Linked DNA regions of Rattus norvegicus. The protein of the gene in region 1 binds, or shares a complex with, the protein of each later gene. Links are inferred from orthologs where the notes say so. Each region holds a gene or a part of one and is shown in the gene's direction. Other genes may lie near its edges.

The links.
Region 2: the proteins of Banf1 (region 1) and Emd are in contact, whole or in part, in a crystal structure (PDB 7NDY), measured with the Homo sapiens proteins. The link is inferred for Rattus norvegicus from reciprocal best matches to the Homo sapiens genes BANF1 and EMD. Residues at the interface, in NP_001137457.1 of Homo sapiens: Arg37, Phe39, Gln48, Val51, Leu52, Lys53, Asp55, Leu58, Glu61, Trp62, Asp65; in NP_000108.1 of Homo sapiens: Pro22, His23, Gly24, Pro25, Val27, Ser29, Thr30, Arg32, Leu33, Tyr34, Lys36, Lys37, Glu40.

The regions. Positions count from the first base shown.
Region 1 is NC_086019.1:212,094,174-212,110,159, reverse strand, and holds Banf1 (barrier-to-autointegration factor), read left to right. Parts: upstream 1-6,607; 5' UTR 6,608-6,688; exon of another isoform or gene 6,689-6,726; intron 6,727-6,860; exon of another isoform or gene 6,861-7,131; intron 7,132-7,318; 5' UTR 7,319-7,334; coding exon 7,335-7,457; intron 7,458-8,094; coding exon 8,095-8,241; 3' UTR 8,242-8,637; downstream 8,638-15,986. Other genes in the region: probable RNA-binding protein EIF1AD, read right to left, coding at 2,657-2,807, 4,021-4,068, 4,234-4,342, 4,427-4,535, 4,682-4,768. UniProt on the Homo sapiens protein: Non-specific DNA-binding protein that plays key roles in mitotic nuclear reassembly, chromatin organization, DNA damage response, gene expression and intrinsic immunity against foreign DNA.
Region 2 is NC_086039.1:157,182,619-157,198,584, forward strand, and holds Emd (emerin), read left to right. Parts: upstream 1-7,819; 5' UTR 7,820-7,926; coding exon 7,927-8,008; intron 8,009-8,100; exon of another isoform or gene 8,101-8,180; coding exon 8,181-8,288; intron 8,289-8,424; coding exon 8,425-8,502; intron 8,503-8,722; coding exon 8,723-8,859; intron 8,860-9,991; coding exon 9,992-10,038; intron 10,039-10,120; coding exon 10,121-10,451; 3' UTR 10,452-10,831; downstream 10,832-15,966. UniProt on the Homo sapiens protein: Stabilizes and promotes the formation of a nuclear actin cortical network. Stimulates actin polymerization in vitro by binding and stabilizing the pointed end of growing filaments. Inhibits beta-catenin activity by preventing its accumulation in the nucleus.

The DNA.
Region 1 (15,986 bases):
TCTTATAAAAAAAAAGGAAAAAAAAGATATAGAACTCTGCTCCTTTCTAGCACCATGCCTGCCTGCATGCGATGCTTCCTGCCATGATGATAATGGACTGAATTGAAACAGCCAGCTCCAATGAAGTTCTCCTTTCTAAGAGTTGCCTTGGCCATGGTGTCTCTTCACTACAATAAAACCCTAAGACAGTGGTGCAGGGTTATTATCTCAGAACTGGGGAGATGGGTGTGTAGGAGGAAGTGTCTAGGAACTGTTGTGGACGTCAGAAAACAACTTTCAGGGGTTGGTTCTCTTCTTCCACCATTTGGATCCTGGCGTTTGAACAAGTTCCTCAGGTTTGGCAGCAAGTGTGCACCTACCAAGCCATTTCACTGGTCAACCAAGGCTTTTAAATGAAATCAATCAAGTTGATTCTAAGTAGTGAGGAAATCTGAGATAGTCTCAGGGTGATGGAGTCAGGGAACTATGATGTATCAAGTGCACTACAATATGAAGTCTAAATACAAAGACCCATTGGGCAGATTTAGAATACTGAAAAGACACTTGTGTAGGAATCTGTTTTTAGACATCTCTTGTAGTTCAGATGTGGCAATGTCTTCATCCTCTGCCTTCACCTTCCCAGGTAGGATTACAGACAGGTGCCACACCTGGTTAGGATTATTTTTGGGGGGTGGAGGTGAGGACATAAAACTATGTAGAGCAGGCTAGCCTCAAATTCCTTAGGAGATAATTGTGCCTCTGCCTCCACACTTCTCTTAAAGGCATGTGCCATAATGCCTGCTAACAGAATGACTCTATAGCTCTGGTTAACCGAGAACTCAAGAGATCTGCCTGCCTTTGCCTCCCAAGTACTGGGGTTGAGATTAAAGGTGTGCACTAAACATGTCTGTCTGATCTGAAAAATTTAAAAGGTAGTATCAATGAGAAAAGAATGAGCCCTTTAATGAATGAGTTAGGGGCAAATGGCTTTCTCTAGTTAGGAAGTTATTTCTCCTAATGACAGAGCTCCTAATGTGGATTTAGCTCGGTAAGAACACCAGTCTAACACACCATGTGCCCAAGGCCTGAGGTTCAATACTCAGTACTAAACAAAAACAAAAAAGAACTCTTCATAAAAAAAAAATTCAGAGAAGTTAAAGATAGGTTTCTCTTTAACCCATATGGTTTATTTCTCCATGTATATACACCTATATTTTATACATGTGTATACCCAAGTATACATTTACTACCACAAAAGGCAAACATGACGAACATAAATGAGAGTCAGAGAGGGTGTGATTGCAGGATTTCCTGCTCAGAAATGAGATTCTATGAAGCTAATGCATGCCTCCAAGCTCAACCAACTACCCACAACAGCCCCCCTCCAAAAAAACAAAATTCGTCAGAAGACAAAAGGAAGGCTCCAAAGTAGAAGTTCCATTAGTACAAGTTTTCAACGAAAATACATACACACAAGCACATTAGGAGTACGCAACAGGGTTGAATAGTTCCACTGAGGGATGAATGACCAGTAGGGGCAAGACTAAGCTGAGAGGTCAGTTTCAATAGGATTTAGCAGGGGCAGGATTAATGCTAGCAGGGTATAGCCAGAAGCAGAAGCCTCCCAATAAGTGAGGCCACAGTTCACAGAAGCTTGCACAGTTTAGTGAGTACCTGGGCTACTGAAGGATATTTGAACTAAAACAATGGGAGTAAGTAAATGGACAGAGGTAGTCATGAGCAAAGGTCTGAGTCACCACAAGAAGTCTTTTGATGCTGAGGTACAAGGGGTAAAGACATTACAATAGCCTCTAACAAAAGGTTAGTAGCCCCACAGGTTCATGCCTGTGAGGCAGGACAGCCACTGAGTTGGTTAGCCTAGGCTACACAGTGATTTTGAAGCAAACCTGGGTTAGAGACAACCTCAAGATTACAGGAAATTGGGGTTGGGGATTTAGCTCAGTGGTAGAGCGCTTGCCTTGCAAGCACAAGGCCCTGGGTTCGGTCCCCAGCTTCAAAAAAAAAAAGATTACAGGAAATTAATACCCTGAAGAAATTAGAGAAAGTCAAAGAAAATCAGGAGATGGTAAGGAGGTATCCTGACCACAGACACGTTCTGGGAATGACAGGTGACGAAGGTGAAGAGAGATGGGATGCAGGCTTGTTTGCATAGCGGCAGGCAGTAAGCACTATTGCAGTAAGGGATAACAAGGCACCAGGAGTTTGTCCTGAGCTGTGCTTAAGAGGCAAGTGGGTCCGAGGTCCTAGACTGCACGCTTAACTATTGGAATAGCTGCTGAATATAAGCAGGTATAAAGGAAGACCCAGTAAGGCACAGCACAGGGTGAGGTATCAAGTGTCCAGAGAGGTACTGTGAACCAGATAAATGCAGCAGAGTTCAGACAAATCATTTCCTGCCCATTCTACCCACACGTGACCAAGGCTTCCACCATAGAAGAGACTTCATTTCACCATGAGCTTCCCTCTACAGAGAGCCACACGGACACCAGTGTAAGTCACTACCCACCAGGGGTTTAATTCTTTTTATGTCAGTTCAGAAAGGGGCCATGCTTTGTCCCCATCCAAAGGAAAAGATCTGCAGGGCACCCTGGGAATGTCCAAACCCAGAAAAGCCAAGGGGTAGTCCCTGAGCAAGTAGAGAAGTGGGTCCTGGGGCTCAGGCCGCCTCCTCCTCTTCTTCTTCACTCTCCTCCTCACTCTCATGATACTGTCTGTGATTGGTGTTGACAAAGAGGTCAGAATCATCTTCAGAACCTGACCCTTCTCCTGACAGCTGTGGCTCAGCGGGGAGTTCCGGCTGACTCTCTCTGTGGGAGCAGGACAGAACAGTAACATCTTCTGGGGAAACCAGAGCTATAATCTCAAGTCCCAAAAACCAGGACCATCAACTAAACAATCAGAATCTAACAGGTTTCTGAAAATCCAAGAGCCCCAAACCCTTATGCAGTGGCACATGCCTGGCATTTAGGAAGCGAAAGCAGAAGACTAAGTCTGAGGACAGCCTGGGCTACATGAGATCCTGACTCAAGAATAAAGGAGACAGGGGTTGGGGATTTAGCTCAGTGGTAGAGTGCTTGCCTAGCAAGCGCAAGGCCCTGGGTTCGGTCTCCACCTCCGAAAAAAAGAAAAGAAAAAAAAAAGATTTAAAAGAATAAAGGAGACAAAGCAAAAAATTCTGGGAGAGGATTCTTCTAGAAAAACAGAGCAAATAGGGAAACCCAGTCAAAAAGAATAGACTCGGGATTACCTCCCACCCAGCCCCTCATCAATTTGAGTGAGGAAGCGACCCCACTAGCATTACTGACACATAGCTCACATTTCCTAACAGCTGATGTACTAACAGCTTCCCAATGCTGCGACACTTTCACAGTTCTTCATGCTGTAGTGAACCCAACCATAAAATTATTATTACTCCTTTATAACTGTAATTTTGCTGTTATGAATAATAATTTAAATATCTGACATGCGACCCTCAAAGGCGTCTCAACCCACAGGTGAGGACTGCTGCACTAAGCAATCTTACTCTCTGTGTAATCCCGTCTCTTATATGAACTCGTTTGTTTCTGAGAAAAAGTTTCCTATACCTCAGGCTGGCTTTGAACCTGTTATGAGTAGACCATTCTGGCCTCAAACTCCTGATCTAGTACTACCTTGTTGAGTACTAGAATTGCAGGGATGTCCAGCCACATCCAGTTAGAAACCTCCTTAAGATACTTAAAAAAAAAAAAAAGCATCTAAACTCACCTGTCTATTAAGTAGCAAAGCTAGCATTTTAACATGTGACCTCTTGGGTTGGGGATTTAGCTCAGTGGTAGAGCGCTTGCCTAGCAAGCGCAAGGCCCTGGGTTTGGTCCCCAGCTCCGAAAAAAAGAAAAAAAGTGACCTTTTAGCCACACTCATAACTACCTATCCTATTATGTGTGCTATAGTTCTCAACAGGAGAAAAGAGCAAGATCCTGTTTCTCCTTGAGGCGCCAAGGTGTGAACTTGTACTTCTTGTTCTGGGGGCTCGCTCCTTACCTGTTCACATTGTTTTGTTTCTCAGCTACCTCAGAAAAGGCCTCAGGCCTGTGACAAGAGAAGAGCCAGGTTAGAGAGCAAAGAGAAAACTTTCAATGAAACAGCTGTTTCAAAACGTCCCTCTTGGAATGGCATAACCTTCTCTCCCCAATTCCCTAGCTAAGATGATACTATCCCCAGAAGCCAGAGGACAAGTAATTAAGACCATCCTACCAGTGACCCTCCTTCTGTAGAGAGCGGACATGGTTCTTGCAGAGCACAAAAGAGATCTCAGCCTTCACTTTTTCTCCTTCTTCAATAGGGTCAACAATGAGGAAGTCCCCTGTAGGTGATAAAGGATAAAGCCACTCCTGCTGTGGAGGGGAAATCAAGGCCATGGTTCTGACTGTAGAGGGATGTTTCTAACCTCTCTTGATCCAGATGTTCTTGCGGTATTTGGAGGGCATGCTCACCAGGAAGCGCTGCCCTTGTGCTGTCTCTACTTCATGCAGATTGTTCCCAGGAGTCCTGAGGACCTGGTCCAGGAAAGAGCATGAACCAGCCACATCATCAGTTAAATCAAGCATTCTTCAACTACATTGAGCCCTCCCTTTCCACACCCCAGGGGTCCAATGGGAGTATCTATCGGGAGGACAGAAACCTGGAGACCAGGATCACTCACTTTCACTATCTGCTGTTGGTCAGAAGGCACCATGTGCTCCCCCAGCACTTCCTGCACCACATGCTTCCTCTTGCTGGCCTGAGACATGCTGGTTATTGTCCAGGGTTGTTAGGGTGCACGGACTGTCAGCTCTTCTTCCAGAATTATTTGGATGCCAGTCTTAGAAGCCAGGACTGCTTTCAAGAGAAGCAGCCTTATACGAAAAAGTGCCACCTTGCCCTGTTAAAAACGTGCACTTGAGGGGACTGCAGGACTTGCTGCTCTGGCAGAACCAGGTTCCCAGCACTCAGAATTCACTTCCCCTATTCCAGTCACAGAGGAGTCAACACCCTCTTTTGGAGACACACATGCAGGTAAAAACACTGGTATACATAAAAAAACGAATAAAATCGGGCTGGAGAGATGGCTCAGTGGTTAAGAACACTGACTGCTCTTCCAGAGGACCTGAGTTCAATTCCCAGCAACCATATGGTGGCTCACAACCATCTGAAATGAGCTCTGATGTCCTCTTCTGGTGTGTCTGAAGGACAGGTTAGTGTATTCGCATACATAAAATAAATTAAAAAATGAATAAAATCATTAAACCACAAACTTAGTCAGGTGTTGGTGTACATCTTTATTCCTAGCACTTGGGAGGGAGAGGTAGCCAGGTATTTGTTGGGTCCTAGGCCAACCTAGTCTACATAGGGAGACCTTAAACCAAAAACAAACAGGCATGATCTTTAAGGACTAGAGAGATGTTTTACGAGCCAACACCCACGTCGATGGTCCACAACCACCTTTAACTCCAATTCTAGGGAATCCAACGCCCACTTCTGTCTTCCAAGAGCACTTGCAACACCACCCATCTTAAAAACAAATCTTGAAAACCAACCAAGCCAAACCAAACCATGAAACACATGTTTTATCGTATCGGTTGAGATGTAAGGGTGGCTCGACCATTAAATCTCAACATTCTAATCCCAATCCATGGAGGCTGAAGCAGATGAATCTTTGTGGAGCCCGGGGCCGGCCTGGTCTACGTAGTGAGATGTCCTCTCAATAACAAACAAGAAATAAGTAAATAAAATGAGATCATGGAAAAACACCCAGCACAGGGGAAGTCCTATGAGTTCTACTTCTAAGTACTGTTGTGATGATGAAACCACACGCACCTCCCAGGCCGATCGCTCTGACAACCTTTCTGGGAGAAGTTTAAGACAAACTACGTTCCTCCACATGCGTGAACATCTCTCAAGTCTAGGAGAGCCATACAACGCTGGACCTCCTAACACATCACAGGCATAGACTGACTCGGCGACCATCACGACGCTTCAAGCAGAAAGACCCTTCGAGCAAAGAACCACCCACAGCACTCACCCGCTCGGCGCTACACAAGCAAGCTCCGTTTTCCAGGTTGACGGTGAAAGCAGCTCGTCCACGACTCACCTCAAGAGTGAGTCAACAAAAAGCAAAGAAATGCGACTTGCAGGTGGTGACGACGGTAGCGCCGGTTTGGACGCTCGGTCTCAAACCTCCGGTGTTCCTACCTTCCGTCTGCAGGTTTGAGGTGATAAACCTGACTCTGAGGAAACCGCGCCGTGAATTGCACTTCCGGGGTTCTCAGAGGCCCTCCGGATGCCCCGCCCCCTCTTTGTCCGTTCCTTTAACTCTTCCCTCCATCAAGTCAGACAAACCCAAGTTCCAGGTGCTAGACAGGAAAAAGTATTCTCCTCGGAAGCGTCAATCCCACAGACGGGAAGGGCCGCCGGAGAAACAAAATCCATCGAAAGCAGCGTGGCTTCCTGAAAGGGACCGGAAAACAGCGACTACCGTGGGCGTGGCGGCTAGCGATTGCGCTTCAACTCTATGACTCAAGGGGGCTAGACGTGCCCAATTTGGGGATTATTTTGAAGGCCGCGCACAAAACGACCCGGAAGCGGAAGTCGAAGAACGTTCTAGCTGCTTGAGGTATCGGCGGGAGTAGCTGAGTGGCGCGAGGAGCCGTTACCAGAGCCGGAGCTGCTGGTGAGCGTGAGAAAGCGAAGTGGGGCTCCGGCTGGAGGGTTAGTGGCGGCGCGCAGAGCCGGGAGGGAGAGGAGTCCATCGCAGAAGCGCGCCTTTGCAGTGGAGCAGCCAGAGTCTGTGGGAGGGGCGGTGCGCGGCATGTAGGGGCGGTGGCGCGTGGAGGAGGCGGGGCGGCGCGCTTGGGGCGGGGCCTGCGGGACCAGAGAGGCGTAGAGGAGGCGGGCCCCTCGAGCGAGTGTGCCGCGCTTGTCCGCCTCTGGAGGGCGGCGAGTGTAGCGAGAGCCTCTTGCTATTCTTACCACGTGGTAGTTCCTAACGGGGTCAGTGTCTGTCCAGCCAAGGTCACCGAGAGAGCTTCAGGGTGGGCCTTGGCTACTGAGTCTGGGAATCTATAGATTGCCTTACGTGCACCACCTGTTAGTGCAAGCTAGTATATCGATCGGGTCAGTACCCAAACCCAGGACCCACAAAAGTGGGAATTTCTGAATAGTGGGGGAGGGAGGGAAACCTTCCCTGGTCCCCAGTTTAATGAGGGGACTTAAGGAAGCAGCCACAGTAGCTGCCCTTTGGAGTTGCGGTCTTCAGCCCTAACCAGCTTTTTTTTTTTTTTTTTTTTTTTGTGATTCCCAGGTTAATCCTGATCAAGATGACAACCTCTCAAAAGCACCGAGACTTCGTGGCAGAGCCCATGGGGGAAAAGCCAGTGGGGAGCCTGGCCGGGATTGGTGATGCCCTGGGCAAGAGGCTGGAGGAAAGGGGCTTTGACAAGGTGTGGGGTGGCTGCAAATGCCAGGGAGTAGGAGTGAAGGTTGGCAACAGATGTTACCAAGCAAATTGGGAGTGAAGGAGAGTAGGGGTATGGGGAGGGTGAGGACAGAAATACATAGTTTGAAGTGTTTTGGGTGTACCTGGGGAGACAGGCACTTCCTTCATTTTCATGTTTTGTTTTGTTTTTTTGCTTTAAATTTTTTTTTAAATTTTTTTTTTTCAGAGCTGGGGACCGAACCCAGGGCCTTGCGCTTGCTAGGCAAGCGCTCTACCACTGAGCTAAATCCCCAACCCCTTGTTTTTTTTTTTGAGACAGGGCTTCTCAGTGCTAGGATTAAAGGTGTGTCCCATTGTGCCCTGCCCTTTTGTGTGTTTTAAATGTCACAAAAATGAAACTAGGCACAGCAGGTTGTGCTTATGACCCCTGCAGTTAGGAAGTTGAGGTAAGAGGATTCCCGTGGAATTTAATGTTAGCCCTGGCAACAAAGGAATAAACCCTGTCTTAAAACAGCCAAAACAAAAATGGCCTTGCCTTCTCAAATATTTACCAGTTAACCCTCAGAGTGGTATCAGTGTAGGCTTGTTGCTTTTAGCCCATAAGACACTCAGCTAACTATATACCCTTTTCTGTTTTGCAGGCGTATGTGGTCCTTGGCCAGTTTCTGGTACTAAAGAAAGATGAAGACCTCTTTCGAGAATGGCTAAAAGACACATGTGGTGCCAATGCCAAGCAGTCCCGGGACTGCTTTGGGTGCCTTCGAGAATGGTGTGATGCCTTCTTGTAATGTTCTCTGGGGACCCCTCAGCCCCCCTAGCCACAGCATAGAATCTCCAGAGTCTGCAGCAGGGCAGGGTGCCTCCCTGTCCTCCACGAAGGAAAAGATTGCTGTTGTCACCCTCATCTCCTATGTACTCCAGGGTCTTTTGGGAGTTCTCTCCCCCCAGCATTTCAACCTTTCTGGGTTTCTTGCCCTCGCATGCCTTCCCCTTCCCCTCCCCCTACAGTTCCATGGCAGCAGTTCCCAGCCTTCCTGAATGGATTACTGCCTCCTTCTCCCTCACCATCTGTTGGATGCCCTTTGACTCCTTTTTTTTGGCAAAAACAGTCACTGTCTTTATAAAAGATTTTTAAATTAATAAAGCTAGTGGCCTTCATACTTGTTGGTCTGTGTCAGAGAGCAGACGGGCTGGGTTGTGTTCCATTGCTGAACACGGTGCACACCGAAACTGGGTCCTTCCATTTCCCCTCCCACGAGGGAGCCACCCTAGCCATGTGGGCCTTGGGCAGGCACCCTGGGTGTCCCAATTCCTAAATAATGTGGGAGAGAGTGTGGGTTGACTTTTTTTTTCTTCCTGGGAGCCATGTAGGCTATAGGCTTCCAGATGTCAAGTCAACAGTCTAGGCGGCACCTGGTGGAAAAGTCAGTGGGAGTCAAAGGAACCAGGAAGTGGGTGAATAGGATGTGGGGAAGAGTTCACCTGCCAGTCATCACACCATGTGCTCTTTTAGCCTCTGGGAAGAATGGGTAGGGCTTTTGCTGTTTGCCCGGCTATTGTAGAAATGGAAGGAAATGGTTAAACTTGAAAAATGAGTTCCAGTTCTAATGTTTTCAGGCTTATACTGTGAACCACCCCTGAAACTAGTATCTTTATGTTTCTTAAATTTTTTATTTTGGAATGGTGAAGAGATTTGGGGTTCAGAAAAGTTAATTTGCCTTTGAACTTGCAAGAAAACAGCCAGTGGAGCTCAGTGTTGGAGAGCCTGTGTTCCTATGTCATGTAACCCATGCTATGCTTTCTGAGCTTCAGATAGATGAGGGTTGAGAGGACTGGGTACTGCTGTAACAAGGAGTCCTGCTTGGTGTTTGTTCCTCCAACAGAAAGTCATTGAGTGGGCTGGAGAAATGGCTCAGTGGTTAAGAGCACTGTCTGCGGGGTTGGGGATTTAGCTCAGTGGTAGAGCGCTTGCCTAGCAAGCTCAAGGCCCTGGGTTCGGTCCCCAGCTCCAAAAAAAAGAAAAGAAAAAAAAACAAAAAAAAAAACAAACAAAAAAAACCCGCTGTCTGCTCTTCCAGAGGTCCTGAGTTTAATTCCTAGCAACCACATGGTGGCTCACAACCACCTGTAATGGGATCCGATGCCCTCTTCCGGTGTGTCTTAAGATAACAACCATGTACTTAGATAAAACAAATAAAGCTTAAAAAAAAAAAAAAGAAAGAAAAAAAGAAAGTCATTGAGCAATGACTTGCTTGTGGTACAGATGAGATGCTTCTCTGCATGTCTGCTCTCCAGGAAGGCAGTGATGACACTACGAGACTGGGCATAGGAGAGACAATTTCCGTGGTCACGTAATAAAGGGAAGGTTAATAAGATGGTCTCTGTTCTGCCTAGTGGTGATGGTGCATGCCTTTAATCTCAGCACTTGGAGGTAGAGGCAGGTGGATCTCTCTGTGAGTTTGAGACCAGCCTGGTCTACATAGTGAGTTCCAGGGCAGCTAAGGCTACACAGAGAAAGAAACCCTGCCTCGAGAAAATAAAAGATGGTCTGTCTATTAGAACTAGAAACTTTAATTGAAAACTTGAGTAAAGAGATGAACACAGCGTGGGTGAGGATATCCTTATCAATAAAATCCCCACCCAGAATTCTTATCAGAGCTGCAGGTAAGGAAGTGTCTGGGACTTGACTAAGTTGGTACAGGGCTTGTGGTGGCACATGCTTCACTAATTAGACATGAGTGAGGATCTGAAGTTCAAGGTCATCCCTAGCTACAAAGCAAGTTGAGGCCAGGCCAGGGTGCATGCGATTTTATCTCCTAAAGAGAATGGTCTGTGGAGATGGCTCAGGGACTACACACTTGCTATGAAAGCAAGAGGACCCAATTCAAATCCATAGCACCCACCTAAAGCAGGCTTGGTTGCAGGTTCTTTCAGTACCATCACCCCTGTTGCAGGGCAGAGAGAACCCAAGCAGTTCCTGGCCGACCGGCCGTGGCTGAAGCAGCAAGTGGTGTGGAGAATGATAAAGGATGCCTCGCATCCTACTCTCGCCTCCACATGATTAGGCAAAGGAGCACCCCTCACCGCACACAGGCACATACACACGCAGGGACACAGCTGGGCATATAGCTGTGTGGTAGGACGCCTAGCGTTCGTGAGCCCACAGGTTCAATCCCTAGTACTGAAAAAAGCAAAGCGGACAGCATCTTAGGGAACTTGGTAGAGGAGCTAAGAGGCAGCCCCAAGGGAGGATTTTAAAGTATCACATGGATAGAATGGGTTCACTTCAATTAGAAATCAGAAAAACAAGTGCCCCCATGCCTACCAGACTGGCAAAGGTCAAAGGTCTCACATCAGATAACATCAAGTGTTAAGCAAATGGAACAACAGGAACTGATCCCAAGTTGGTGGGAGTAAATTGCTATGAGCACTCTGGGAAAACAGCTGAGTATTATTTTGCAAAACGGACACACCCCATGAGCCATCAATTCCATTCTTAGGACTGAGCCTGTAAGAGACTGAATACTTGCACTAGGACCTTAGGAAATGTTTACAGCTGTCTGTGAGACCCTGCAGTACAGGCGGGTGTTTCCTAGTGTGAGCCTAAATTCTTGCAACTGCACAGCAGGGAAAGTGAGCCAGAGCAGTAGTTCAGAGGAATCTCAGCACCGGACTATGGACACAGAATCACATGGTGGTGCATGCCTTTAATCCCAGTACTCAGGAGGCAGAGGCAGGTAGATCTCTGAGGTCCAAGCTAGCCTGGTCTACAGAATGAGTTTCAGCACAGCCAGAGCTACACAGAGAAACTCATCTCAAAACCTTTTTGTTTGTTTGTTTGTTTGTTTTGTTTTGTTTTGTTTTGTTTTGTTTTGTTTTTGGAGCTGGGGACCGAACCCAGGGCCTTATGCTTGCTAGGCAAGTGCTCTACCACTGAGCCAAATCCCCAACCCCTCAAAACAGTTTTTTACTCTCAGGATTTTTATGTTTGTGTCTTGCTGTGTGTGCCTGGCTAGCCTGGTATTAACCGTTGTAGCCCAGATGGCCTCAGGCTCACGGTGATTCTGCCTTAAGCTCCTGAGTGCTGGGATTGCAGTCCTACACTTCTTCCATTCGTGTTCAGAAGTAAATTCTTGCTTAGGGATCCCTATAGAGACAGTTAAATTAGAAAGAAAACCAAGGAACCACGTACTGCAAAAAATTAGTGACAGGTTTGGGGGTGCGACAGGTTTGGGGATGCAACATTGGTCTAGTGCTTGCTTTGTATACATAGTGGACACCAAAGCAGACACCAAAGGGTTAAAAAAGAAAAGTCAATAGTAAAGATGAATCACTATATCAAATCTTTGGTGAAGGAAGGATGATGATGAAAGAGCTTGTAAGTGAAGGTGACATTTTCATTTTCTGGTCTCAGAGGTAAAATTCTTGACTGAGTTGAGCAGGGTTTCAGAAGTAACTAAATAATAGAATGATGGTTATCTAGCACGTGTTATATCCTGCGTTCCACGTGTATCCTCTCAATGAAAATGAACACGAGTGTTATGTCCCCTGTTCTGTGTACTGGTGATATTTCAGAACTATAAGATAAATGCAGGGGGGGCTGGGGATTTAGCTCAGCGGTTAGAGCGCTTACCTAGGAAGCGCAAGGCCCTGGGTTCGGTCCCCAGCTCCGAAAAAAAGAACCAAAAAAAAAAAAAAAAAAAAAGATAAATGCAGGGTTGGGGATTTAGCTCAGTGGTAGAGCGCTTGCCTAGGAAGCGCAAGGCCCTGAGTTCGGTCCCCAGCTCCGAAAAAAAGAAAAAAGAAAAAAAAAAAAGATAAAAGCAAAACCAAAAGATAACGTCCCAAGGAGTGTTACGTGTGGCAGTGCGTGCCTGTAATCCCAGCATTTGGAAGGCAGAAGCAGGAGGAGCTGGAGACCAGCCTGGGCTCTGGGAGTAAGACAGTCCTCCAAAACAACAAAACTAGACAAACCATGGTTTGAGCCTCTAACAATCAGGCAATGAGTCAGAAACTCTCTGACGTGAGTATGGATGAGAGCTCACTCAAGGCTGGGTCTAGGTAAAGTGTATGGCCCACCCTGGGATGAGTACCAGGTACCCTCAGTAGGTGGCCACAACACTTACACCTCCTTCTGTACTCACACCTCTACAGCGCAAATCAGGGTGCAGTCAGGCCATCAGTAATGGCCCTGCAGAGGTGCCAGATGCAGGGGCAAGCAAAACAGGAATGGGGTTGGGGATTTAGCTCAGTGGTAGAGCGCTTGCCTAGCAAGTGCAAGGCCCTGGGTTCGGTCCCCAGCTCCGAAAAAAAGAAAAAGGAAAAAAAAAAAGGACAACAACAACAACAAAAAAAAAACAAAAACAAAAACAAAAACAAAAAAACCAAAACAGGAATAAAGTTCGAGTCAGGCATGGGGATGCACACCTTTAATCTCGGCACTCAGGAGGCAGGTGGAGCTCTGAGAGTTTAAGACCAGCCTTCTCTACATAGTTGTAGGACAGCCAGGGTTACATAGACAAACCCTGTCTCCAAAGGAAAAAATAATTTTATACATAAATATCTTTTAAAAGTCATATGAATGTAAAAATGCATGGTCGAAAATTGCCTAAATTTTAAAGAAAGATTGACCCCAGTCCCAAATCACTCATTTTTCCTTGCTAGGAAGGTAGGAAGCCAGAAGGCATAGTGAGTGCCCCTCGCTACTTGTCTGCCCCTGCTTCAGGAAGGCAAGCATGGGTACTTCAGCTTCCCTCAAGGGCCAACCCTCTGTTCCCTCTGGAGCTCCCTGCAAGAGTCCCCTCTTACTCCATGTCTGAGTCCCTAGGTCAGAACACTATTCTTAACTGGCAATGGGAAAAACTAAAGGGACAGCCATGGACCAGCCTGGACCTCAAGTGCCCCTGACTAACCTGCCTTGTTGCCAGGTGGTGGCCAGCACCATGTCCTAACCCTGGATACGAGAGCATAACAGTACAAGCAAACCAGAATCTCTGGATACCACGTGGACCTCACCACCAGCCCCCAGCCATAGGAATATAATAAGAGATAATAGCCGCATCCCACACAAAGCCTGAGCCCCCCTGGCTTTGTCATTTTAACTCGTATAGTCAGGTAGAGGCCTTGCTAGACCTCTCCTGACTCAGCCCGTAGGTCAGCATGGGGTATAGGAAGGAGAGGCTGGAGCTTCCCCTTGTGGTGGAAGTTTCCTGGAAGGACTTGGGATCACACAGGGCTGACTGCTGGGAGAAGGAGGCTGGTGCCAAGCTCACCCTCCTTGTCCACTGTGCCTCCCTCTCCCCCGAAGCCGTGCTGCAATTTTGGGCTTCCTGAGGTCCCCTGAAAGAACGTGACTGTGTGCAGCACCCCACGGGGACAAGCATGGTGGAGGCACCTCAGGGTCACAGGCCACCTCTGCTGCAATAAATCTCCAGTTCTGCTTCTCACACTGCTTTCTTCTGTGTGCTTCACCCACTCGGACCCTCACTTTGCTCTCAGTGACTCTCAGAACTCCACAGATGACACAGCACACACAGTACCACGTCTGATGACCTCTGCCATCCTGGCCCAAGCACTACTGAGCACACGAGACTCAGCTCTCCAATATGGATCCTCAAACACTGTAGAATCTCAGGTAGACAGGGACCACCTTCCCCACTCCTAAGCACAGCCACAGACTCCTTACACGTGTGACGAAAGGACAGAAACGCAGTTAGAGTGCTGACACCCTAAGACTAGCTAGGGCGTGGGGTACCAGGGAGCATTCTGAAGGGGAACAGTACCCTGATGATCTCAGCACACAGAAGAACTACACATGGTCAGGGCATGGGTATGACACCGAAGGCCCAGCCTACAGTCCCATGACTGCTGGTGGCTAGAGGTGGCTGGCTGTCCTTCTAAATCCATGGGGGCCATGAGACTAAGACAGTCCTTCTTCCATCCTCCCCAAAGGCACAAGGCCTTGTCCTGGGCAAGACCTCTGAAAGGAGCTAGACACACACACAGCCCAGAGGAGTAAACCCAAATGCACAGCAGCCAGAAGGGTGAGTCCCCAGGAGAGATATAATTCAAAGGTACAGACACAATATTTTACAAATTACCTCATCTGTTTATCTGACTGTGAGGCTGGGCATGTCGAGATGAGAAGACGAGCTGTGGGAATCAGTTCTCTTCTTCCACCTGTTGGGCCCGGGGTTAAAAACTCACTTGTGGCTGACAGCATCATTATCTGCTGAGCCATTTCTCCAGCCCCAACTGCAATGTTCTGTGCACACCTTACTTGGCAGTCGAAATCTTTTTTTCATTCCTCTCCTGAGAAAAACTAATCAGTACAAGTGTCAGACAGACAGACACATATACACAGATCCTGAGACACAGAGACAGACAGAGACAGAGATACAGAGACAAAGAGATGCAAGATGTGTTCAGATGCTCCAAGACACCGAGGTCATGCCATGAAAAACATCAACACCCACAGCAAAGTCAACACAGAAGGAGCACAACCCAGAGACAGCCCAGGGACGGGCACATAGCTCCTAAACTCAACAGTCGGAGCCCCTTGTGCCCTGCCAAAGGTGTGTTCTGATGCACAGACACGTCATCACACCCGGGGACGGGACGGAGTGAGTACTTTGAGAGCGCTAAGTATCCACAGTGTCAGGCCCAAGCTGGCAGTAGAGGGGTGGTATGAAATGCACCTTCGTTCAAGGTCTCCGTGACCACCATGGTCAGCAGAGCAATGGTCCACAAGAGGCGAAGCAGACAGTTTGGTTCAACACACCAAGGAAGACAGTGGGGGTTCAACCTTCGAGTCTGATTCCAGGCATCACACCCCAGCACCTCTCTTCACAGCTCATTGTCCCTTCCTGCTAAGTGAAACCTCATACCTCATTTTGTTTGCTTCTATCTCCCATTGGCCCCTGCCTGTCACTAGGACCCAGTACCAGGTGCCTTGTGGAACTGGATTTTGGCAATTTGGGGCCCAGGCTAAGATCCTAGGGAGTGTGGGATGAATACCCTAGCAGCCAAATACAGCAGATAAATATCAGATAGTATTGAGTAAATGAAGAAATATAGTATGGTTACTTTCATGCAGAGTTAAGAAGTCAAATCTTGCTAGGCGATCCAAATGTTTGATGAAACTCAAAAAATGTTTATTGCAAAAGCCAATAGCAGGTGTGGTTGTGCATGCCTGCAAGCACAGGATTCAAAAAGCAGGAGCAGAGGGATGGGCAGGGAGTTCCAGGTTAGTGTGGAATTCCAGGCTACATATGGAGACCGTTTCAAACAAAGCAAAACAAAAACGTCAGTAAGAAAGAAAAATTCCAGGGGACTGGAGAGATGGGCAGTTAAAGCATTGGCTGTTCTTCCAAGGGACTCAGGTTCAATACCCAGCCCTCACAACTTTGTGTTATTCCAGTTGTAGGGGATTTGATTCAATGAATGTGAAATAAAAGTAAGTAAATAAAAAGAAAGAAAAAATCCATATTGATTACCTTTGGAGGTAGAAAGGAAGGTAAGAAAGGGTCAGATG
Region 2 (15,966 bases), on another chromosome or scaffold:
AGAATTGCTCAGCTCCAGTCGGCACACCCTTACAAGGGACTTTCTTACCCCAGGGTCCCTGCAGAGGGCGGAGCTAATAACGTTCCCGTATCACTTGGGCTCCGCCCCAACCCTGTACCCTGCTCTATCTTCATTCTCTGTTCTTCCTAAACTAAGCTTAGGATTCTCAGCCACAGTCTGGTCCACAGCAATGCGAAGAGTCCAATCCTGAGAGCAAACCTTTCCACAGCGCCTGACGCTGTTGCGAGCTCTTTGTGTGCACAAGTGCTGTCATACAGGACTCTCATCACCTACATAACTACCCACAGACCCCTGGCACTCGCTACCCATCTCCGCTGGTCTTCACAGGCTCCATGGCCCTGGCCTGCACACCTGTACAGGCCCATTCCCACCGTCCTCTCTGCCGCCTAGTTCCATCCTGGAGGAAATGGGGCTAGCACTGGGACAAGAGGCCGCCAACACTGTAGGACCAAGCAGCTTTCCAAAGGTCCAGGGCATGCCAATGGGCACAATCAGAAGGTGCCTGCTGTGTGATGCATGTAGATGGGTACACCTTGTACCTGCCTAACTCACTGTTCCATCCACCTTGGGCCCTGAGGAGTTTTGAGGGGAGAAGTCTTCTCTGGCAGAACAGCCCCAAGCTCAGGGATAGGTCCAAGATTACTGAAGGAAGGAGAATCACCAGACATCAAGGCTTGCTAAAGAGCCTGGGTGTGTTCCCTGAGTAGTGTGAAGCTACTTGCTAAAAGTTAATTTTATGACAGATATTTTCTGGAGATAGTGATGAGGAGCAAAGATACAGAGACAAGAAAACTGTGGGGATACTCCCAACCACCCTCTTAAGTTAAGAGGATTCATTTTACCTATATGTCTTTCCCTTGGTAGACTCCTTCCATCTACTTTCTCTGTGTTTCAAGCCTCCCCAGAATGTTAAAACTGTTTTTCCAGAAAGGCAGGTCTTTATCCCTATTTCTCAATTCTAAGCCCAGTGGCTGGAGCTGGAGAGATGGCTCCGTGGTTAGAGCACTGGCTGCTCTTCTAGAAAACCTGGGTTCAATTCCCAGCACCCTTACAACTGTCTATAAGTTCAGGTCCAGGGGATCTGACACCCTCACACAGACATGAATGCAGGCAAAACTATGCACATAAAATTAATAAGTAAAAAAAGACCAGTGGCTGAAGAAGGCCTTGGGTTGGCTAACATGTCATGCCCAAATATGGTTGACTCTCCCATGGCCTGGAGTGTCTTCATTGCCTGTGGTGACACTATGATAGGACTTTGATCATAATGGGCATCACCTTTCAGCATGGTCATCTTGAGATTGTCTATAATATTACCAGTCAAATAACATTTTCAGTAGAGAACCACCACCCCATCCCATCACCTACATAAAGAAGAAGATATCCTCTCCTTTTCTGTTTTCATAAGTGAGCCAAAGGTTGAGTTGGGGGACAGGATGGCAGAACTGTGAAAGGGTAACCCAAATGGAAACTTCCAGTGATGTTATTCAAGACACGATTAGGGTAATATTTCTGGTCCCCCTCACCTATTGGAGAGCAAATCCCCATGTATGGAATTGCATCAATAAATGATTTTCCACTCAGTGCCATTTGGGTGGATCACCTGAGTTCATCAATTTACAAAGAACAAGGAAAATTGAACCATAACACAGAGAGAGCACAAAGAACTTGTGTTTCCCAGCCCTATGATTTGGCTATTTAGGGAGAAAAAGGGAATTGGGTGGGGGGACATTCTGTGTGGACAAGTGTCACCACCAGATGTCGCTCCATCCCAAAGACCCAGATGGGGCAGCCCCAGGAAGCCAAAATCCAACTCTTTCATATTTTCCCTTATTTGGAGTAGATTCTTGGATGTTAGACACACCCCGCCCACCTCCCCACCCCATTCCTCTCAGACCCCAGGCCAGGCCCTCCCACAAAGAACTGTAGGCACAAGCCCACCAGCTATATTGGGATCCTGAAGAGCTATTTCTAGACCTCTGTAGCCAGGGGGCGCCAAGGAGGAAAGGAAACAGAAAATCCCCAAAGTGAGACCAGTGCCCTTAAGGCAAATCCAGGTGTGGCAGAAAAGTACAGTGATTTCCTGAGCTCTCACCTTGGCCAGACGGTCTGGAGCTGCAATTGACTGCGGGTGGATTTCACCCACTTTTTCTGGCCCCAGTCTGGCTTTGGGATCTAGGAACGCTGATGCTTATGTCCTGGCCGGCAATGACCATCATATTCAGAACCAACCTGAGACAGGACCCAGACTGAAAATCTAGCTGGCCATGCCCCTCACAGCCCTGGAATCAGCTCCCCATGGCCAACCCAACAGGGAACTCTTGTATCCACCCTTATTTCACTTCTCTTGTGTCCATGCTTGACATTGGCTGAACAATGTCTTTCCAAGTTGTCACTCATCCTTATCCTAATCAGGGTACTAGTCTCAAAAGACCTTTCCCAGAAAGGTACACAATGACCAACCAGTTGATGGGTGCCCATGCCTGTACCCATCTCCTGCCAAACGCTCAGATACCAGCCCCCTTTTCAAGAACTCCTCCCTTGGGCTCGAGCTCCCAGATTCCTGGGCATAGACACAGTAAGTTTGTGGCAAACTATGCAAGGCTATCCCTGGACACCAACGCGATGCCTGGGACCTGAGTCCACACCCAACCTGCACCTGGCCTTGGCCTCTCTGACTGCTTTCCAGAATTCTACCCAGTTGAGGAGCCGCACATCCACTATCTGAGGACTATTCGGCGTGGAGCTGACCACAGAGCCCTCACCTGCTGTCCCTGCAACCGCGGGGTGGCGCCCAGCTCTCCACGCCTGCGCCGGAAGCCTGAGAGCTCCACTGGCGTCCGCTGCGCGCCGCGCGCCTCCACGCGAATGAGCCGCTGCTGCCCGCCTTCTTGTTAGCCGCATCCCCGCCCCACTCCCGCCCCGCGCCCGGCCCGGCCCGACCCGGCCGGGCAAGAAAGCCTTAATTGGTAAAAATCGCCCGGGAGCTGGGGGCAGGGAGGGGGTTCTGAGCGCACCACGAGCTCCAGTGCCCCGCTAACTGGCGACACCGCCCCCCAGAATGAGCTCAGCACTCTATGAAGGCTGCCAGGCTCACCTCCAGAGCAGGGTCTGCAAACCCTATGTTTAGGCCCAACCTTTAAGGGACTAGATGAGTGTAGGGGAGCCAAGTGTTTCTTGGCTGGAAAGGGGGCTCTGTTCCAAAGCCACCTATTCTGGGGAGTTCCTCACAGTCACAGCCTTCTGTCTCTGAGCAAGTCTGGGTTGGCCACACTGGTACTATCTTGCTCCATGGGATGAGAGATAACGGGTACCCTGAGCCATGTGATGACACCCCTACCCCTAGCCCCAGCTAGGATTGATTTGGTCCCAGTTAGGTGCCTGGGAGCAAGCAGAAGAAATATACTGAATTCTCAAAGCAATCAGGTGCAGTCCTAAAGCCTGGGAATGTGGAATGTGGTACAAAGAGCCAACTATCTGTGAGCTTGGTGGGCATAGCCATTAACTAATATTGTCAAACTCTCTCTTCCTCTTCTACATGGCCATTTCCTGGTAGTTTCAGATTCAACTCAAATATCACTTCCTAGGGGAAGGCCACATAAAAAAATGCCATTTCAACAGTTCATTATTTTATTTTTTCCCTACAATCCCAATATGAATTACATTTGTATCATGCCAACATATATACACACAACTGAAATAGATAGTGCAAATGAGGTTTTCCTTACCACCTACAATATATTCCAGTGTGTGTGTGTGTGTGTGTGTGTGTGAGAGAGAGAGAGAGAGAGAGAGAGAGAGAGAGAGAGAGAGAGAGAGCGCTCAGGCTGATTAGGAAATCACTATGTAACACCCAAACTAGGCCTTAAGTGGAAAATCACCCTTATTTCTGCCTTCCAAGTGCTGGAATAACAGTCCTGTTTGATTTCTTTTCCTATTTTATATTATCAAAAAGAGAAGGAATCCTTGCACTCTGGAAGCTGAGACAAGAGTATTCCAAGTTACAGCTCAACCTAGGTTACACAGTAAGAAGAAAAAGTGAGGAAGGGGAAGAATGGCAAGCTACAAGGGAAGAAAGAAGAGAAGGGGAGGAAGGAAGGAATGGGAAAGAATGGGCAGTGGTGGCACACGCCTTTAATCCTAGCACTCTGGAAGCAGAGGCAGGAGGATCTCTGTGAATCTGAGGTCAGCCTGGTCTACAGAGTGAGTTCCAGGACAGCCAGGGCTACACGGAGAAACCCTGTCTCAAACAAACAAACAAACAACAAAGATGGAAAAAAGAGTGAGTGTGGGAGTTTGACCACATTTGCAGAGTCAATTTGGTGATCTGTGGTTTAACTTGAAGAGCAAAGTGCTGGAGTTTTCTCCAGGGAGCATGCATCCCTTGCTAACTTTGTTGGCTCTGCTGGCAATGACATTTCACATTCTGGTCTCCAGATAGGACTAAGGTCTCTTACTGTTCTATCTAGTGGAAAACCTCTACTAGGGAGGCCAGTGAGTTATCATTCTAGTGGCCTGATTTCAGGTTCATGAGGTGGCTGCACCAGAGTTCATGAAAATGACTGTCCTTTCAGAGGAAAAATCCATTTACCCTCAAACATGGCAATCAGATCAATGGGTAGGAAGATTGAAGGAGCATGAGTGAGGTGGTGAATATATAGTTGTATTTCAGGATGCCCCCCCTCAACACACTGCATTAGAACTCTCTTTATTGACCCTCTCAGTGCACACAAACTGAAAACACAAGAAGTTAGTGCCATCAACTTCTTTCAAGTCTATCATCTATGAAGATTAATCTTATGATTAACAGTTCCTTGGCTTTTAAAAAAGCATATTCTTAAAACATATTCTTCTTGTTCTGAAGAAACGTTTTCTTTTTTCTTTTTTTTTCTTTTTTTTTTTTTTTTCGGAGCTGGGGACCGAACCCAGGGCCTTGTGCTTGCTAGGCAAGCACTCTACCACTGAGCTAAATCCCCAACCCTGAAGAAACGTTTTCATGTAGACCTTTTCTCACAACTTTGGGGAGATAGCAGTTTCTGGAGGTTGAATCTAAAATTTATTTCATGCCAGCCAAGTGCTCTACCACCAAGATAACTACATCCCAAATTCCCATTTTACTTTTGATTTTGAGACAGAGTCTCACTAAGTTTTCCAGTGTGGCCTTGAATTCACCCTGAAGCACATGCAGGCCTTAAACTTTCAATTCTCCTACCTCAAAATCCTGAGTGCTGGGTGGAATTACAGAACCAACAATTTTCTTATTCTTAGAATGGGTTGCTTCCAAGATTTTTTTCCCAATTAGTCATACTGGCCAAGGGCTACTCCTCAGAATTTCCTAGAGACCTACAGAATGCCCTAGCACATCCTTCTAGCCCCACTGACAAATTCTAATTGAAGTATAAAGCCAGCCTTGCACCACCTAGATGACTTCCTGGGTAGAATATTTCCATGAATCACTCAACTTGAAGCTGTTGCAAAAGCTTCTTTCAACTCTGGGATCCTGATTCTTCTGCTGAATGATAGAGAAGAGAACTACACTGCAATAAGGCTAGATGTAAGGTCTAGGTCATCAGACAGTATGTGCGAGACCACAGTACAGCTTCCTGGTAACATCTGTGATAGGATCTTATAGTAGGATAGTAGGGGGATTAGGAAGCAGAGTGCTGAGGCAGGTACAGAGGGTGTTCCTTAGGGAAAAGGCAAACCTAAAATTCCTTGACCTCATAAGGAAACAACTTGATTCTGTATGGGGGGAGGGGAGTACTGAGCATTCATTCTGTATGCAGAGGCCTCTGGGAGAGGGGCCAGCACAGAGGGAGGGGGATGCTGGAAAATCTGATTTTGCCAAAACTAAAAAAAATAAAAAATAAAAAAAATTCATGAAGCAGCTGCTTAATGGGGAGAATGTCTGTCTCTCTGTGCTTCTCTGTGTGTCTATGTCTGTCTGTCTGTCTCTCTCTCTCTGTCTTTCTGTCACACACACACACACAGACACACACACACACTCCTGCCCAAGAACTTTCTCCTGTCTTTCCTTAACACAGTATCTTTTCCAGAGATTCTTACAGCTCCATTTACAGGGATAGAGAGGGCACTGTCTTTTAAACCCATCCAACAGCAACTTTTCTTCATTAAGCACTTTGTATGTGGTCAAAACTGGGCTCCACCTCCTCACCATTGCCTACTTTAAACTTCTATAGAGGACTGGCCAGTGACCTTCACTAAAGTGTCATCAAGGCCAGCCTAGAGCTGACCAGAGTATTCACTATCACTATCATTTAGAAAACCCATGGGTTGTAACCCCTCTAATAAACCTCTATCTCCAAAAATATTTACATTATGACTCATAAGAATAGCAAAAATTATCATTATAAAGTGGCAACAAAAATAATTTTATGATTGGGAGTCACTACAACATGAGTAACCGTTGTGGTCACAACAAGGGTCACAGCATTAGGAAGGTTGAGAATCACTGATTTAAGAGATCAGGCATCCCACACACCTTTTCTGCATGTACCCCCTCTTCTAGATGTCTCCAGTAAAGGGCAGCTTACACCTAGAGCCACATGACTTTTCGTAGAATATAATGGTCATGCTCACTCTTCAAGGCAACCTTTCTCTGATCCAGATCCTTAGTGAGCCTCCGTCAATTCCCATGGTTTACCTTTAGGCCAGCAGTTTGGAACCTCTGGGATACTATTCCTTTGGGTCTCACATATTAGATATCCTTCATATTAGATATTTATAATTTATAATAGCAAAATTACACTTATGAAGTACAACACAATAATTTTATGGTGGTGGTGGGGTCATCACAATATGAGGAACTGTATTAAAGGGTCGGCAGCATTAAGAAGGTTGAGAGATACTGCTCTAGGCTTTGCACACTGTCTAGGCCTCTAAGGTCACACCAAGCTTAGAGACTCTGCCAAAGAAGACTTCTCCCCTCAAAACTCCTCAGGGCCCAAGGTGGATGGAACAGTGAGTTAGGCAGGTACAAGGTGTACCCATCTACATGCATCACATAGCAGGCACCTTCTGATTGTGCCCATTGGCATGCCCTGGACCTTTGGAAAGCTGCTTGGTCCTACAGTGTTGGCGGCCTCTTGTCCCAGTGCTAGCCCCATTTCCTCCCGGATGGAACTAGGCGGCAGAGAGGACGGTGGGAATGGGCCTGTACAGGTGTGCAGGCCAGGGCCATGGAGCCTGTGAAGACCAGCGGAGATGGGTAGCGAGTGCCAGGGGTCTGTGGGTGGTTATGTAGGTGATGAGAGTCCTGTATGACAGCACTTGTGCACACAAAGAGCTCGCAACAGCGTCAGGCGCTGTGGAAAGGTTTGCTCTCAGGATTGGACTCTTCACATTGCTGTGGACCAGACTGTGGCTGAGAATCCTAGGCACTGGAAATCAGGATGAAGCCACAAAGGTGTGTAAGATTTCACAGCTTGGGAAATCACAAGCCAGTTTTGGTCCGCTGAGAACACTTGTCGCCCCTCTAGTACGTTGAGCTTTAGCACCCTCAGATAGCCTAGCTAGCCCCGCCCCTCAGCTGCCTAGCTCTCAAAGGAAGTCTCCGCTGCCCCAAAATCTCTCCCGCAAGCCCCTCCCTCTTCCTGTTCGAGTCAATCTCACACAAGTGTGACGTTTGTATTTGCCAGTCCAGCCTGCTAGACTGGTCTGTACTGGCCGCTCCGGCGGATTTGGGCCTGCCCTGAGGAGAGCGCGCAACCTGCGTAGCAGCGGCTGTGACGCAAACGTGACGGCGGCTTGACGCGCCCACAGCCGCTCTTGAGGCGCTGGCGCTTCCTCTGCTAGGCTCCGAGCTGTCTGTTTCTTGGGCCCTGTGTATAGGTGCCGGCCGCCCCTGGCGTTCAACACCGCTTCCAGGTGCCGGCCGTGTCTGCCATGGACGACTATGCGGTTTTGTCCGATACTGAGCTGGCCGCAGTGCTACGCCAGTACAACATCCCGCATGGGCCTATTGTGGGTATGCTGCAGCCGGTGGCGCTCAGAACCTCTCGGTCCCCCGCTTTCCCGCGCTCCTCCCTGAGCGTTCTTCCTACCTCCTCCTTCCCTCAGGTCCCCTCCCCGTGTTCCCTTGTGCTCTTGGGGTGCTCGGCTCGCACCCGCTGACCGCTTCGCACCCTGTGTCTGGGCAGGCTCCACTCGCAAGCTCTACGAAAAGAAAATCTTCGAGTACGAGACCCAGAGAAGGAGGCTTTCGCCCCCCAGCTCGTCATCGTCTTCATTCTCCTATCGGTTCTCAGGTGAGGCTCCAACTGCACAGCCCCAAAGAGCAGCTTGGGGCACAAGGCGCAGGGAGGGAGGGTGTGGCTGAAGCTACTGAGGGAGTAGGGGGAAGTCTGGAGATTGAAGGTCCTGTACCTTCTCCTCCACATGCAGACTTGGATTCAGCCTCCGTGGACTCAGACATGTATGATCTGCCCAAAAAGGAGGACGCCTTACTTTACCAGAGCAAGGGTAAGGCAGGTGTGGGATGGGCACTGATGTCTTTATCCCATGCTTCAGGGATTTGGGCACAGTGAAACTCCAGACCTCACCCCCTTGTACCAGTTCTCAGTGGCTTCAGAGAGAAGAAACTGGCACAGCACACACACAGACTGGGGGGGGGGGGCGGAAGGTGGCAAGAGGCCAGGTAAGGGGCACCACTTTTTCCTCTACCACTGTTTTCTTCCTCAAGACTATAATGATGACTACTATGAGGAGAGCTATTTGACTACCAGGACATACGGGGAGCCCGAGTCTGTGGGCATGTCCAAGAGCTTCCGCCGGCCAGGGACCTCACTTGTAGATGCTGATGATACCTTCCATCACCAGGTGAGTTGTCTGGTAGGCATACCTGGGGTGTATGTAGCCTTAGGGAATTCTAGGTTTGGATAGTTCAAGGAGATACTAGGTGCAGAGAGTGGATCTTAGGCCTTCAAGTATGGTTAGGATCAGCATACAGTTGTTGGCTCAAAAGTTCTACGTTGGAACCTCCAAAACTATTAGATTTGGGGATGAGCATATATAGCTCAGTAGAAGAGCATTTACCTATGGTTTCATCTCCAGCATCCAGCAGCACACACAAATGTTTTTGGGGTTTTGGCATTTTTAAAAATTTAATTACTTTAATTATACCTATGTGTAGCCAATTTTTTGTTAGTTTGTGGGTTCCCCTCACCCTTTCACCCCCAATCATTAGATAGAGAAAGAGAGCTAAAGATCCCTGAATCTAATTTCTTTCTTCCTTGTGTCTTCTTTGACCCCAGCTACTAGCAAACTGTAACCAACCTCACCTATTGGGGCTCTAGTATTTACATACCCTCTGAAAAATTCCCAGAATTCCAAATACCACAAAATTGCAGAAACTATCTGCAACTCAAAAGCATGAAGCAAATCATAGCTGCTGTAAAACAGCCCCATATCCCACATCTAGGGTTAAAATAAAAACATTCTTATAATATTTCTGTGTTTCTTAAGCCAAATTTCAAGAATTCTCACTACATGTATGTGTCTGTGGGTAGTATGCATGAGTGCTGGTGCCTACAGATGCCAGAATTGTCAGATTTCCCCTTAGATTCCCCTTAGAGCTAGAATGGCAAGTAGTTGTAAACTGCCTGATGTGAGTGCTGGAAAATGACCTTAGGTACCTAGGAAGAACAATAGGTGCTTTTAACCACTGAGGCATCTCTGCAGCCCACAAACTTTTATGATCTGAGCATATATAACAGCACCTGTACTCTAGGATGTAGGTTTAAGCCTCCTGAGAATCCTGGGGAATAAAAGGATGGTGGGACAAAGTTGACAAGGTTTGTAACTGGGTGGCAAGGCCCCACAGTTAAAGAGGGCATGGACCCAGAATGATGGGGGGGCAATTTTCTGCCCCCTACAATGTGACTAGAGTAGGCTAGCCAGAGACATTTGGGGAAACCATTCTTTCCCATTTCTAATCCTAATTATCCGGCAGGTGCGTGATGACATTTTCTCTTCTTCAGAAGAGGAAGGCAAGGATAGGTGAGTAGTGAACACATGTAGGGACAGGGACAAGTTTGACACTCAGACTCTCCTGCCTACCTGTCCCCTTCTTTTGCTACAGGGAACGCCCCATCTATGGCCGAGACAGTGCCTACCAGAGCATCGCACACTACCGCCCCATTTCCAATGTCTCCAGGAGCTCCCTGGGCTTATCATATTATCCTACATCCTCCACCTCTTCTGTGTCCTCCTCTTCATCTTCTCCCTCTTCATGGCTTACCCGACGTGCCATTCGACCAGAAAAGCAGGCCCCTACTGCTGCTCTGGGCCAGGATCGACAGGTCCCACTCTGGGGCCAGCTGTTACTCTTCCTGGCCTTTGCTGCCTTTCTGCTCTTTGTTTACTATTCCATACAAGCTGAAGAAGGCAACCCCTTCTGGATGGATCCCTAAGGGTATTGGTTTCAGAGCAGCTCTTAACAGGAGTTTTGGCTGACTGCCTTAGCAGTGTTTGCTGGGGGTGGGGGGTAGGGGCTTTTTTGTGTATTCTAGTTAGAGGGTACAGGGCCTAGCCTACGGCAGTGCTTGTCTCCACCTCATCTTGCCAAGGAAGCAGCAAATGCTGGCTTTCCACAGCCCAGTAGGCCCGTATGTACCTTCCTCTGGAGCCTCCTAGCCTTATTGCCTCTGACTCTTAGGGTATGGGGATCTGGTGGGGAGGACCTCACTTCATTAGAGGAAAACTTGGTGGTGGCAGTGGTAGTTGTCATGCATGCCTGTTTGTTGTCACCTTTTCAGGGGGTATTAACAAGGCCATCCTGGCTTTGCTTTCGTGGACACAATAATAAACATGTTTATTTTTACCTTGTTGTTTCTTCCTACTGGGATGGGAGCTGGGCTGCCATGGCACACAGGTGCTTGGTTTTAGGTCTCAATAATCAGTGTGGCTTTTCCCTTTGGTTGTGCTTGGTCTTGGGGAAGGAATCAAATGCTACCCATAGATAAGTCTATGTTTTAGTTGTGGGTTTTATTTCTGGGCCAACTCCCTGAAATACTTATTATAACCACTTAGAAAAATAACTACCATGTAATTAAATGTGTAGATAAGCCTATGGGAAATGTAGGCAAAACTGCATATATGATCATATATGCAGATACTTTAGTCAGGAGAGGCTAACACCAACATCTGAGGTTACCAGGATAGAAAAGATATGAGGCATCATGCCAGTACATTGTTCAGCTCCTGGGATTGGTGGCATGATAATAAGATTCAAAGGCTACAGTGCACCCATGGCTATTCTAATTCTTTGCCTGTTTATTCTTGCTCAGTTTTTAGATTTTCTTTGGAGATAATCTTTTTGTATACTGCGTTAAAATGTTTCTGTCCTTCCTTATCTGCCTAAGGTACCTACTGATTGGTTTAATAAAGAGCTAAATCGAGGGACTTCTGGGCATAGAGAGGGACTCTGAGGTCAGCTAGACATGGAGGAAGAATAGGTGACTGGTACTGAGGATCAGTTGTGAGCCATGTAGCAGAATGTAGAATAGTATAAATGGGTTGATGTAAGTTATAAGAGCTAGTTGGGGGTAAGCCTAAGTTAAGGCCAAGCTTTCATATTAATGAAAAGTCTTTGTCATTATTGGGAGCTGGCACTGACCTGGGTTGCCAGATGTAACCAAGCTGTCTCTTTGGTACCAGTTCCCAATAATGACATAGATACCTTTTATTATGAAAGCTTGGCTTTAGCTTGCTCACTCTCAACTAGCTCTTAATTTTTTTAGATTTACTATTATTTTATTTATATGAGTACACTGTCGCTCTCTTCGGACACACCAGAAGAAGGCATCGGATCCCATTATAGATGGTTGTGAGTCACCATGTGGTTGCTAAGAATTGAACTCAGGACGTCTGGGAGAGCAGTCAGTGCTCTTAACTGCTGAGCCATCTCTCCAGCCCCCAGCTCTTAATTTAACATACTTCTACATTCTGTCAGGTAGCTCATTACCTCTCCTCAGTCCCATATGTCTCAAATCTTCCACCTCTGACTTTCCCACAGTATCCCTTTCTGCCCAGAAGTCCTGCCTATCCTCTAAACAAGTCAGGAGGTGCATTGGGCAGGTGAGGAAGGACATACACACCTTCACACAGTGAATGATTATCCCAACAGTTTTTCTATCTTGGATACATAGTATATAATATTAAAAGGTTTTTTTTTTTAATCCAGGCATGGTGCTACACACCTTTAATCTCTGCACTTAGCAGAAACAGAATGATCTCTTTGTTTTTTGTTTTTTTTTAAAGATTTATTTATTTATTATATATAAGTACACTGTAGCTGTCTTCAGATACACCAGAAGAGGGCATCAGATCTCTTTACAGATGGTTGTGAGCCACCATGTGGTTGCTGGGAATTGAACTCATGACCTCTGGAAGAGCAGTCGGGTGCTCTTAACCGCTGAGCCATCTCTCCAGCCCCAGAATGATCTCTTTGAATTAAAGGGTACCCTGATCCAGGACAGTGTCTCAATATGAAAATTTAAAAAATTAAATTCTGGGCTTCAGAGATAATAACTCCGTGGTTAAGAATATGTTGCTCGGGGCTGGAGAGATGGCTCAGTGGTTAAGAGCACTGACTGCTCTTCCAGAGGTCCTGAGTTCAAATCCCAGCAACCACATGGTGGCTCACAACCACCTGTAATGGGATCTGATGCCCTCTTCTGGTGTGTCTGAAGACAGCTACACTATACACACACTCACACACACACACACACACATAAAAAAAAAGAATATGTTGCTCTTTCAGAGGACCCAGGTTTAGATCCCAATATTCACATGGTGGTTCATAAACAGTCTGCAACTCCACTCTCAGGGGAGCTAATGCCCTCTTTTGACTTCTGTGTGTACTAGACATGCATGTTGGGTATTATATAAACATATGAAAATGAATAGCTGTACATATGAAAAAAATCCTTAAAAAAAAAGTCTTGGGCTGCAGAGATGGCTCAGTGGTTAAAAGGCACTGACCGCTCTTCCAGAGGTCCTGAGTTCAATTCCCAGAGGTCCTGAGTTCAATTCCCAGCTACCACATGGTGGCTCACAACCATCTGTAATGAGATCTAATGCCCTCTTCTGGTGTGTCTGAAGACAGCTAGAGTGTACTTATATATAATAAATAAATAAATAAATCTTTTTTTAAAAAAAATCTCAAAAACAACAAGAAATCCAAGATAGAGTTACATATTTTTAAAAGCTCATTTCTCCTGTTATCTCTCTTCTTAACACAGCTTATTTTTAGGGTTTTTCCAGACAGGGTTTTTCTTTGGGTAGCCGTGGTTCTGCTGGAATTGAAGATGTAGATCAGGTTGGCCTTGAGCTCAAAACTCAGAGATCCAAATGCTGAAATTAAATGTGTGTACCACCACTGCCAGGATTAACAAAATAGTTTTATTAATTGAGATTTTTTTGTAAATTTTATAGAATATATTATACTTTTTCCTGGTAACTCCCCTTAAGTCCATTTAGAATTGTTTGTATGTTCATGTACTTAGGGCTGACCACTTGTAATTGAATAACCTATCAGAAATCTTGTGTCTAGAGAGGAGTGATTTTTCTCTCTTGTAGAAGATCTAAGTTCATACTCCCAGGACCACATGGTGGCTCACAACTGACTATGACTCTAGTTCCAGGGATCCAATGTTCTCTTCTGGCTTCTTTCTGTACCCAGCATGCACATGGTACATACATAGACATGAAGTCAAACTACTCCTAGCCATAGTTTTATTTTAATTTAAAAAAATACATGAGGATGGCTAAATGTGTAAAGAAAATTACCAAGCCTAATAATGAGAATCAACCTCTGTAAATCGTCCTCTGACCTCCATATGAAAGGCATGGCAAATAATATATTTTAAAATCTGTGTTTGTTATTTTGAGTCAGGATTTCTTTGTGTAACCCTGGCTGTTCTGGAACCCACTTTGTAGACCTGGCTGGCCTTGAACTCTGAGATTTGCTCGCCTCTGCCTACTGTTACTTTAAAGTGACCATAGGGCCAAGCTTGGTGGCACATACTTTTAATCCCAGCACTAGAGAAACATGGGCAGGTGGATCTCTGCATTCAAGGCCAGCAAGGATTACACAGTAAAACCCTGCTTCAAAAAATAATATATGCGGGGTTGGGGATTTAGCTCAGTGGTAGAGCACTTGCCTAGGAAGCGCAAGGCCCTGGGTTCGGTCCCCAGCTCCGAAAAAAAGAACCAAAATAATAATAATAATAATAATAATAATAATAATAATAATAATAATAATAATATATGGGGTCTGGTGAAACAACTCAGTGGTTAAGAGCCCTTACTAATCTTCAGACAGGTTCAGTTCCCAGCATCCATGTCTTACATCTCCAGTACCAGGTGATCCCCTTCATAAATATCTGCATCTATGTGATGTGCACATACATTTTGGTCATACAAAAATAATATAGGCCTGGCAGTGGTGGTGCAAGCCTTTAATCCCAGCACTCGGGAGGCAGAGGCAGGAGGATCTCTGACTTTCAGACCAGCATAATCTACATAGTAAGTTCCAGGATACTCAGGGTTACACAAAGAACCCTGTTGCCAAAAAAGTTTATTTAAAATAAGGTCTTCCTATGTAGCCTAAACTAGCCTGGAACTGACTACCTCTGCATCCCCAGTACTGAGATCATAGTCATGAACCACCTCTGTTTAATAACATTGTTTTGTGTATTTGAAATAAAAAGGAAAGGATACAGGCTGGTAATATACATGTGTAATTCCAGCATGAGAAGCTGAGGAAGGAGGATTGTTAAAAGAGTGGAAGGTTAGTCTGGGCTATATGAGCTCCAGGCCAGCTAGAGCTACAAAGCAAGACTGCCTAAAAAATAGTGGATATAGTGGTATACATCTTTAATCTTAGGGAACTGGACATCCTCTTCTGACCTGCTTGGGTACCAAGCACACACCCAGTGCACATGCAGATAAAACACACACACAAAAAAAATTTAAGTGTTTAAAATAATGGGAGTCGCTTAATTTTACTACTGTGAATAGACACCATGACCAAGGCAACTCTTTTTTTTTTAATAAGTGCTCTTTTTTTTAATAGATTTATTTATTTATTATATATAAGTACACTGTAGCTGTCTTCAGATACACCAGAAAAGGGCATCAGATCTCTTTACAGATGGTTGTGAGCCACCATGTGGTTGCTGGGAATTGAACTAATGACCTCTGAAAGAGCAGTCGGGTGCTCTTAACCGCTGAGCCATCTCTCCAGCCCCCCAAGGCAACTCTTATAAGGACAACATTTCATTGGGACTGGCTTACAGGTTCAGAGGTTTGGTCCATTATCATCAAGGTGGGAGCATGGCAGAGTCCAGGTAGGCATGGTGCAGGAGGAGCTGAGAGTTCTACATCTTCATCTGAAGGCTGCTAGAGGAAGACTGACTTCTAGGCAGCTAGGGTGAGGGTCTTATTTCCCACACCCACAGTGGCACACCTACTCCAACAAGGCCACACCTCCTAGGGCCACTCCTTGGGCCAAGCATATACAAACCATAACAGAGTGATGGAACATGCCTTTAATCCCAGCACATGGGAAGCAGAGGCAGGCAGATTTCTGTGAGTTCAGCATGGTCTGCAGAGTGAGTTCCAGCACAGGCAGAACTACATAGGGAGACCCTGTTTTTAAAAATGTGATTATGTATGAGTACTCTGTTTGCATGTACATCTGTATGTCAGAAGAGGGCATCAGAGCCTATTATAGATGATTGTAAACTACCATGTTTACAATCTGGAAGAGAAGCCAGTGCTCTTAATCACTGAGTCATCTCTCCAGCCCTCATAAAATTTTAAAATAATAAGTAAATATGGGGTTGAGGGTTTAGTTCAGTAGTAGAGCACTTGCCTAGATAGAATGCTTGTATAGCAAGCATAATGTTCTTGGTTGAACCC